Linked DNA regions of Saccharomyces cerevisiae S288C. The protein of the gene in region 2 interacts with the protein of the main gene of each other region in a biochemical or structural test. Each region holds a gene or a part of one and is shown on either strand. Other genes may lie near its edges.

Evidence for each region. Proteins that work in one complex are often made in the same cells at the same time.
Region 1: of the proteins of ARF3 (region 2) and YEL1, one has a biochemical effect on the other in vitro, tested with the Saccharomyces cerevisiae proteins (one study listed by BioGRID).
Region 3: the proteins of ARF3 (region 2) and LSB5 form a complex in vitro, tested with the Saccharomyces cerevisiae proteins (one study listed by BioGRID).

Annotation. Positions count from the first base shown.
Region 1 is NC_001134.8:106,115-110,495, forward strand, and holds YEL1 (Arf family guanine nucleotide exchange factor YEL1), read left to right. Parts: upstream 1-1,817; coding exon 1,818-3,881; downstream 3,882-4,381. Other genes in the region: SKT5 (Skt5p), read right to left, coding at 1-1,292; CMC2 (Cmc2p), read right to left, coding at 4,011-4,306. UniProt on the Saccharomyces cerevisiae protein: Guanine-nucleotide exchange factor for ARF3 required for localization of ARF3 to the bud neck and tip and involved in actin patch polarization.
Region 2 is NC_001147.6:501,119-503,992, forward strand, and holds ARF3 (Arf family GTPase ARF3), read left to right. Parts: upstream 1-1,676; coding exon 1,677-2,228; downstream 2,229-2,874. Other genes in the region: CMR2 (Cmr2p), read right to left, coding at 1-1,334; ribose-5-phosphate isomerase RKI1, read right to left, coding at 2,434-2,874. UniProt on the Saccharomyces cerevisiae protein: GTP-binding protein involved in protein trafficking; may modulate vesicle budding and uncoating within the Golgi apparatus.
Region 3 is NC_001135.5:60,155-63,222, forward strand, and holds LSB5 (Lsb5p), read left to right. Parts: upstream 1-1,503; coding exon 1,504-2,568; downstream 2,569-3,068. Other genes in the region: GFD2 (Gfd2p), read left to right, coding at 1-572; dithiol glutaredoxin GRX1, read right to left, coding at 687-1,019; MXR2 (peptide-methionine (R)-S-oxide reductase), read right to left, coding at 2,622-3,068. UniProt on the Saccharomyces cerevisiae protein: Essential for the organization of the actin cytoskeleton, fluid phase endocytosis and vesicle trafficking, together with YSC84.

The DNA of each region.
Region 1 (4,381 bases), on a different chromosome or scaffold from region 2:
GCCAACAAAGTTGCTGAAGGAACATGCCCTAAACTTGCTGCTTGAATATATAGTTCCATTGCATACTTTTCATCCGGAATGACAACATCTAAGAACCCTTCATGATAAATCTTAGCCAATTCGTATGGTGCTGCGGCCGTCAACTCATTAGCTCTTGCTGCAGCCCTTGATAACCATTTTACCCCATTTAATTTAGTATTAACGTCGGTTGGAAGACCCATTCTGCCGTAGAATGAATAAAGTCCCAATTTATACATTGCTGAGGGATGATTCCTGCTAGCCGCAAACTTTAAAAAATTGACTGACTTACGAGAATCTCTTGTTGTTCCTAGTCCTTCTTCTAAGCAATGCGATGCTCTGTAAGCACTTTCTATATGACCATGCTTTGCAGCTGCTTGAAATAAGACAAATGCTTCTTTATTTTCAATCTTCCCAAATGCTCCGGATGAGTAGCCGTCCGCTAATAAGTATTGGGCATCTGAATAACCCTTTATGCTCAGTTTCTTCAAATAACTTTGCGCTTCTTTCAAAAACTGAAGTTTTAAGTCAGATTGGCTGACATTTCCTTCCTTGTCACTATCTTGAACAAGAGCATTGGAAGATTCAATAGTCAGTGCGGTTTGTAACATATATTGCGCATACTGGAATAACACTTCAGGATCTTTAGATTTTTTAACGTTTTGTCTATACATTTCTATTGTTTTTAGCCTTGGAACTAAGGAAGTATTATTTTTACCACCCAAATATCGACTGATCATCTGATGTGACAAATCTGCTACAGATTCATTAGTAGCCGTTAATTGGGTATCACTGCTACCATTCAACAGGTACATGTGAGACAAATCTACAGAACGAGTTCTTTTCTTTATTTGCTCCTTCGTAAGAGATGTACTCGAATTTGTCTGTCTTAATGCTCCCGGTGACGGAGAATTTGTAGGAGTACTTCCCAAAGAACTTAAGGAAGTATTATTTGAATTATTAAGATGAAGCTGTGGGGGTGGGACTGGAACGAAATCTTCCTCTTGACTATTGCCTATATCGTTTGATAGTAGAGGTACTGACGCAGCTCTAAGATGCTCATTGATAAGCGGTTGGTTTGCCGACCGCTTAGGAAGGTCTGCGGTACTGAAGTCTTCATTGTCCCTGTTTTCCCTATTCTCTTTATTATCTGAAAAATCTTGACCTACCTTCAACGAACTGTTTTGAAACTGTAGGCCCCTGTTATCAAAATTTATATGCTGTGATTGCATTAAATGCTTCTTATATGGATGTACCTGCGGTGAACTTGCCATTTTTTATCCTTTTATTTTAACTTTATCACCAAAAAAGACGAGAACCTGGTAGTATACAATGGAAGGCTTATTAACAGCAAGTCTAAAGTCAAGTGCCAACACCTAGTTTGTCTCTACTCTTAAATCTTACATCATCCTCGAGAGGGTCTGCAGAAAGAATTTTTCGTTCTTTTTTTAGCAAGTCAAAACGCGAAGTGAAACGTGGGAAAATATAACGATGACCTTTCTTAAAACATGCATGAAGACTCGTGAAAGTCATATGTACATATGTCGTATAGATTTGCAGATAGTTGCAACAAATAATTAGCGATTAGTTATGGCCTATACATGGCAGCTAAGTGCGATGGCATGTTCAAATGTATTATATTAAATCAAATGAACTTAAAATGCGATGTTTGGGTGCAAAATATCTATAGATGATAGAGACGGTTCATTGATCTTACGGATCAACTTTGAGATCAGTAAGGCTGACTAGATGGTACAATTTTGTGCAGTCAATGGACTATTAAGGGATCGCAAAGAGGTATGTGCGCCAGTTTAAACGAGGTAAAAAAGAATGACACCTATGGGGTCTCACAAAAGGGCTACAATGACAATTTCAGTGAAAGTGAGGGCGTCCTTCATGGTAGTAAGTCGATGCCCACTAGCATGAAAAATATGCTACAGTCTCCCACGATGGTCAACATGTGTGATATTTTACAAAACAAGGAAGCTGCTAATGACGAAAAACCTGTGATACCTACTACGGATACCGCCACTGCGGGGACTGGTACTGAAGATATTAGCTCCACTCAATCCGAGGAAACTGATCAGAATAGTCATCTTATTGCCTCAGAGATCTTGGAAGGCACTTTCAAAGATGTATCTTACAAGGAATATGCAAATTTCTTGGGAAACGATAACAATAATCAAGTCTTGACTGAGTTTGTAAAGTTATTGAGTCCTTTGCCGTCGTCACTATTAGAAACGCTTTTCAATTTATCGAAAAGTATATATTTCATTGCAGAAGCGCAAAATATCGACCGGATACTAGAGTGCTTGAGCATAGAATGGATAGCTTGCCACCCGAACACACATTGGAAGTCAGGCTATAAGTCATGTCATATAGTCTTATTTTCCCTGTTGATCCTTAATTCGGATTTGCACAACAACTTTCAAGTTGACCATAAAAAGATTAAGTTTTCCATGGTTGCATTTATCAACAATACACTGAGGGCACTAAGAGAGGAAAATGAATACGAAGAATTGAAAATATACTCCCGCGAACATTTGATCATCGAAGAACTTTCCGAATACTATAAAACGTTAAATGAAACGCCTTTACCGTTATGCACAGAATCTAGAACATCAATAAATATATCAGATAACCAATCTTCCTTGAAAAGGTTCTCTACTCTAGGATCACGGGAATTTAGTACATCAAATTTACGTAGTGTTAACTCTAATTCTACTACACTATATTCAAGAGATGGTCAAGTATCTGTACGAGAAATGAGCGCAAAATCAAATAAAAACTTTCACAATAATCACCCCATGGATGCACTCTACCTTAAAGAGTCTTTTGATGACGGTTTAATTACCGAAAACGGCTCCAGTTGGTTCATGGACGATTTAATTCTTATAAGCAAGAAATCTTTACCACGTAAATATTCTAAAAGAGACAAAGATCAAGTGGCGGCACCAAAAATGACCTCTAAGAGAAACAAATCGTTCTTCGGATGGCTAAAACCATCTAAAACGACTACACTTATTGAGCACACATCTAGAAGGACTTCTTTATCGTATTTGAATAAGGATTCTGAATGGGAGAGGGTGAAAATACAGGTCAAGGAGGGCAGAATTTTTATTTTCAAAATTAAACCAGATGTTAAGGATATCATCCAATCAAGTGAAACAGACAGTGCTACCATCGACTATTTCAAAGATATCAGTAGCTCTTATTTTGCTTACTCACTGCTTGAAGCTGAAGCACATGTCGTGCAAGATAATATAATTATAGGTAGTGGAGCAATGAAATCAAATGTGTGTAACAAAAACACCAAGAGGAAAAGTGGCAACTTTACCGTTAGTTTTCCAGAGAATATCAACGGACCAAAGCTTGTTCTGGAGTTCCAGACGAGAAGTGTTGAAGAAGCCCACAAGTTTATGGACTGTATCAACTTCTGGGCAGGTAGGATTTCTCCAGTTCCTTTAACACAATTCGAAGCCGTATCTAACGCAGAATATGGATGGAGTGACAAGATCTTGACAGAGCACGCTTCCCTCAATCTTAAAAATATTGTTGTAAGTGAATGGAAGCCACTATTGGGGCTAGAGCTACTATACGAAGATGCGAAAGATGTAGAGATGGTCGAACTAAAAGAAAGGCTAAAGGAATTGATGAACTTCACCAGACAGCTTGGTATATGGATAGATAAACATAACGAAATAAAGGATAAGCTGGTCGAAATTTGGAGCTTTGACGATAACTATTTTGAAGCAGTCATGAATAATTGGAATTCGAGATATTTGTATATGAATAATCAATATAAGAAACGACTGAGCTACTTGAAAGCTTTGCAAAAAGCCATGGGTTCTGTTCAGTTCTAAGTATATTTAAAGATATAAATATAAAGACTGCGCTGAAGAAATATAAACTTGAAAACTGTACTCTGCCTTTTATTTACAAGGGATATTGAGATGATTTGTGTGAATGAAGTAGCGACAGAAAAAAAGCTTTTATTTCGAGTTCGCATCATTGTCACTTTCCTGCTTTTTCTTGGCGTACTGTCTATCTAAGATAGTCTTTAATATAGCGTCCTCGCCATATTCTTCTTCCTCAATTTTCTTCCATCTCTTTTCTACATCAGCTCTCTTTATTCTACTTTCAATGACAGCACGTTTCTTGTTATTCAAACTTGCCTCCTTGAGACACTTGTTCAAAGCATCCTTTTCGTTGTTACAAAGGCCAAATATTCTCTTGTAATATTCCTTTTGATGGCATTTATCGAGTGCATTGATGAAGTCCAAACAGGCTAAAATGAAGAAGGGGAGAATACAATGTTAGTAAGTCGGAGCACAGAAAAAGGCAAATATATGAAGTAAAATCT
Region 2 (2,874 bases):
TCGGCTCTAAATTTATCAATGATATTTTCATAGCCCCCAGGTCGTTGTAATATACTACTATCGATAGATATCATAAGATTACCAGTAAAAAGATTGAAAAGCACACCCATTATCAAACCAGTAGATCTAGTAGGGTCCAGACTATTCAAGATAACAAACCTTGAGTTGGTTGCCATAATTTTTTTGTGAAATGGCTTCCTGATGCTTTGTGATTTTTGTTTCCAGTGAGGCATTGATCGTGAGTTTAGAATTTTTGTCATCGTTTCAAATTGGTTTATTAAGATGTTATGCTTCATGACGACGCCAGAAAGACGACCTAGCGGTGTTCTAGTAAACTCTATATATGAAATATTCGGTATATCAAAGGTAGGCGAAGTTTTTTTTGCCTTTGTGTACGTCCCTAAGTCATCAGTCTTGACAAATTTGATTTGCTGGAAAACATCGTTCTTAACCAGTTTAACTTTTGAATGATTTGATGACGAATACAAGTTATCTAATTGTCTATGACATGCGTTAGAAATCAGAACAAATTTCGAATTTGTTACTTTAATTATCTCAAGGATCTCACGCAGAGAATACGTTTCGAATGAGACTGGTACAGCTGCCATGCCGGATATGAAACAGCCTAATAATGCAATAGTAAATTCGATGACATCATTTTTATTGTACCATAGTAAAATCTTATCCATTTTGTAAAGGTGACTCTTATTCAATTCATGTGCTACCCTCTCCGCTTTCAAATAAAGTTTATCCCATGTGATGAACGTTTCTTTGCCTTTAGAATTTATGCTGATCATCGCTGTTTGACCATCATAATGTTCAAAGCGTCCCCGTAAAATTAGCGGTAAAGAATCCGTCATTGCTGAGTCTCCACTGCTAGTATTTTCGGCTCCAGTGTGTCTTGGTAGTAATGGTATCATAGGATTATAAACGGCATCCTTCACTGAACCGTTTTCATCACTGGAACCTGGCAATGACGATTGCAAAGAAGCTGTATATCTCTTGCTCCGCCTTCTGGGAGTATTGTTCGCAGAAGTCGAGTTTATAGTTGTGACACGATAGATAGAATGACGTCTGTCAATTGAATTAGGTAACGACGTAATGGATGATGCAAGACTTGTATTTCTTCTGTGCAAATGTTTCGACTTTCTCGAATTGGGAGATCGAAGCGGGGTATAAGGCCTCATTTGGGAGATTTCAAATTTGTCTAGCAATTGTTTTCTTTTGGTCTCATAACCCTTTCTTGTTAGATTTTCATCCTTATAGTCTTGAATTAACTCATTTAACCGACTTTGCAGATCTAGAGGTAAGGTAGGAGGAATAGAAAAATCCATTGGAGTAACTCAATGCCACACGCTTTTACACAGAACTGAATCACCCTAACACCAAGTTTACGGAAGCAAATGTTAAATCTGTTGAAGCTCTTTTGACTACATTATAAACAGAAATAAAACATACTAGAAAGTAATCGGGTTTTGACGATTTCATCCATTACCCGTCCGAATGATGGCACTTATAAGATAATGAAGATGTACGCAGCATTAAAACCCTATTTGCAGAAGCATAGTAAGACGCAACGTACGCTGAATTAGACTGAGACATTACAGTTGCTTTGACATTGGGAAGATAATTGGGATTTAGAACGGAAAAAAGGAAAAGACAAGCTAATTGTAGAGATGGGCAATTCAATTTCGAAGGTTCTGGGAAAACTATTTGGCTCGAAAGAAATGAAAATTTTGATGCTAGGCCTGGATAAGGCTGGTAAGACAACAATATTGTACAAACTAAAATTAAATAAAATAAAGACGTCTACTCCCACTGTCGGTTTTAACGTGGAAACCGTTACTTATAAAAACGTAAAATTCAACATGTGGGATGTAGGAGGACAACAAAGATTGAGACCTCTCTGGAGACATTATTTTCCAGCCACCACCGCACTTATCTTTGTGATAGATTCTAGTGCTAGAAACCGTATGGAAGAGGCCAAAGAAGAGTTATATAGTATCATAGGTGAGAAAGAGATGGAGAATGTAGTACTGCTGGTATGGGCAAACAAACAAGATTTGAAAGATGCAATGAAACCTCAAGAGGTTTCCGATTTTTTAGAACTGGAGAAAAATTTGAAAAACCAACCTTGGTGTGTCATCGGTAGTAACGCCTTATCCGGACAGGGTCTTGTTGAAGGATTATCCTGGATTTCGAACAACACAAACGTTCCAAAGAAATAAACATTGCATTTATTGGTGTTGAATCTGCATACACCGATTGTTCATCCTTCATTTTTACTGGATTGTACTTTACTAAAAAGAAAACTTCTGGAAAAAAAACAGTATCCAAATAACTAAATAGCTTTAATAATACAATATAAAAAATGGAGACACTGTTGTGAAAAGTCAACCTTTACTACGGTTTCTGTCTTTGCCTTTGATCTGCTCACTTTTCGGTAACTTCAACACTACCGTCAGAATTACCGAAGTAGGCTTTTGAAGCGTTGTCGATGAATAAACCTGTTTCCACCACGCCCACTAACAGTTTGATTTCTCTATGCAATTTTCTTGGATCGGAAATTTCACCGAAATCCGCATCGATAATGAAGTTATTATTGTCAGTTACAACAGGACCTGCTTTAGCAGAACCTCCTTGTCTGATGTCAACTTTTTCAGCATGCAATTGTTCTAATAGATCATTCTTGACCCTCACGTATGAGGAAGGTACAATTTCAATGGGAACACCTTGCCTCCAGTTCTTACCTAAATGTTTTGGTGACTTTTTTCTTGAATCAGCAACGACAATGAAGGTTTTAGCACTAGTACTAACCAATTTTTCTTGAAATAGACAAGCACCACCACCTTTAATTAATTGTAAATTCTCATC
Region 3 (3,068 bases), on a different chromosome or scaffold from region 2:
AGACATGGTCAAGGGCATTTGTTGGTCATCACGTGAGCGGGGATCTTAAGTGGCTGGAGACTATTGGTGTCAAATTCCCTGGCAGAGGGTATGAAGGCCATCTGGACCATACGCTGCTTTTGGCTGAAACTCCCGGTGATCTAGACGTGTTCATCTTGGACACTGAGCAGTTTTACAGGAAATCGTATGGCGAAAAGGGCAGCAGTCTGGGCAAGATTCTGCGGTTGTTCGAGATACCGCATGCGTTTCTACACAATGCCGGTAACGATGCCTACTATACCCTGCATTTGTTCATGAAGTTTTGCGATGTTAATTTCAGGAAAATAAGCGGCATGGACGATGTTCTTAAAGTAATGGGCCAAGTAAAAGTTTGGGGAGAACGAGACGTACGAGAGCCTAAAGTGGTGCCCATGTCGTATGCCATCTCCATCGAGGAGGCAGTCAAAAATCGGACGTACCGCAAGGGCGTCAAGAGCAGTAGGAAGGAAAGAGTCTGCCAAACGGAATTCGGTGGGTTAACGTATTTCGGAACTGCTAAAGACGCCTTCACAAGCACTCTTCCGACACACTAAATATATTCATCGATTTTTTTCCTGTAAATACAAACACATGCTTGTATACATATACATATACATATATATAAGCTCATTATAAACCTGTGTGCATGGAAAAAACTTTGTCTGCCCTTAATTTGCAAGAATAGGTTCTAACAATTCCTCCAATTCACCAGTCTCCCTCAATTCCTGCAAGTCGTCGTTGCCTCCAATATGTTTACCATTAATATAGATGTTTGGCACGGTTCTTTGGCCATTAATCTCATATAACGCAGCCTGAATGTCTGCGCCTTCCTTCATGTCATTCAATTGCAAAACCAGAACTTTGGACCTGGGAACCTTTAACTTTTCAAAAAGCGTGTTTAGGGCTGCATGGCAGTATGGACAGTACGTTTTGGATGCGACGAAGATCTCGTTTTCTGCAATAAGGTCCTTGACGTGCTTGATAGTTTCTTGAGATACCATTTTTTTTCCTTCTGAGGTTTTGTCTATTTGTATAATTATGCGAATGCTCGTATAAGTACTGCACGAAGTTCTTTATTTTATGCTAAAGTCCCTTTTTATATTATATAAACTTTTCATTTATTTTATATATTTACTCCTTTCAAGACAAAATTCCCACATCACGTGAATCAGGAGGCGCAAGGGGGGTAGTAAGGCAGTAGTAGATAAAGAAAACAAGCATCGCAATCTGGAAACGCCGTTGCGGCTGCTCGTTATCTGTAGACAGCTCACTTGTGCATGAAGTTCATGTTTTATAGATGATGGAGCCATACTTCAAGGTGATAACTATGAAACTGTTTTGACCTTGACGTGTAAAGTGATCAAGGTAATAGTTAAACTTTATATATGTTGTTTATCAATGTGGTATCCTTTCTAAGGATGAAGACAACACGATTGTGACAGTGTGAGAGAGTGATAAAGCATTGGAGGCAGGCAAAACAAGAACATGGGGTTTCTTTCGGATCATCCGCATACAGCTATCACCGAGACGATCTTTCGAATTGTCTCTTCAAGGGACTATACGCTAGAAGTGGAGTTAGCTCCCTTGATTCAGCTTATCAAAGCAGATCACAACGATTATAACTATACCGTGAACCAAGAAGAAGCTGCGCGAGCACTTAGAAAGAAAATAAAGTATGGGAACCGGCTGCAGCAGTCCAGGACTCTGGACCTCTTGGATCTGTTCATCTCACAAGGCGTGAAGTTTACAGTCATGTACAATGATGACAAGCTGCTGCAAAGGCTGAGAGGGATGGCTACGAACTCTGAAAACAGCGGGTCCGGTGAAAAGTATGAGCCTAGGATTATTAAGAAGTGCGCGGCGTATGCTATCTCGTGGCTAAACTATATTACGCAGAACAACCTTGAGAATGCGAGGGCGTATTCAGGTCTTTATCAATTGGGTCAAACAGTCAAACAGAGGTACTCGAAGAGCAGCCGTTCCCGCCGTAGCGGCGGAGGCTCTGGCGGACGGTCTAACTTCATGGATGATAGCGCCGACGACACTTTGTACCAGTCCAACTCGCTGACTAGTGCCGATAGATTGTATAGGATTCCACAGATCAACATGAACAAAGAGGCACCCAGGATTCGGCTCATAATCAGCGATGCTCTCGCGTCTGCTGTGTCGTTACAGAACTCGCTGATCGGGCTGCCCAAGGGCAAGTTCTCCACAGACGATGAAGAGGCCACGTCCAAGTTCATCCAGGCAAGGGCGATCAGAAGGAAAGTTCTTAGATATCTGCAATTGGTCACGGAGGGTGAGTTTCTGGGTAGCTTAATTCATGCCAATGATGAACTGGTGGCTGCGTTGACTGCATACGACGACCGAAGCGCTCAGGACGATAGCAGCGATGAAAGTGATCACGGCTCGTACGATGACGGTATTTATGATGAAAACGAGCAGGATAACAGCAGGTATATTGATAGCGAGTCCTCAGAGGAAGAGAGCTTGTCTTCTTATCAGCCGTCCACGATCTCAAACCCTTTCGGTGATCATAACAAAATTTGAAGAAGTATGTACGTATGCATACACACATATATATATATATATATATAGTACATTTAATCCTTCTTGAGGTTTAAAGACGCACTGTTCACACAGTGTCTGGTGTCCTTGGGCAAGTTTAGCAACTGTTTCCAGCCTTCACCTTCAAACACATGTCCCAAGTGTCCACCACACCTTGCACAACATATCTCCACCCTCGCAGGCATTAAAGAATTGTCACGATGATATGTGATGGCTCCAGGGGATACCTCTTCGTAGAATGCGGGCCATCCACAACGAGCGTCGAACTTGGCCTTGCTCGAATACAACGGTCTGTCGCAGTTGGCACAATGGTAGACACCGGACTCGTTGGTGTGTAAATACGCACCGGTGTTGGGCCTTTCAGTGGCCTTATCTCTCAGCACCATCAGCTGCAATGGTGTCAGGGCATCGTTCCACTTCACGTCATTCGATTCGTCACTCATTTTCTTGCTCTTATTCCAGTACTGCGTCAGTACAATGTT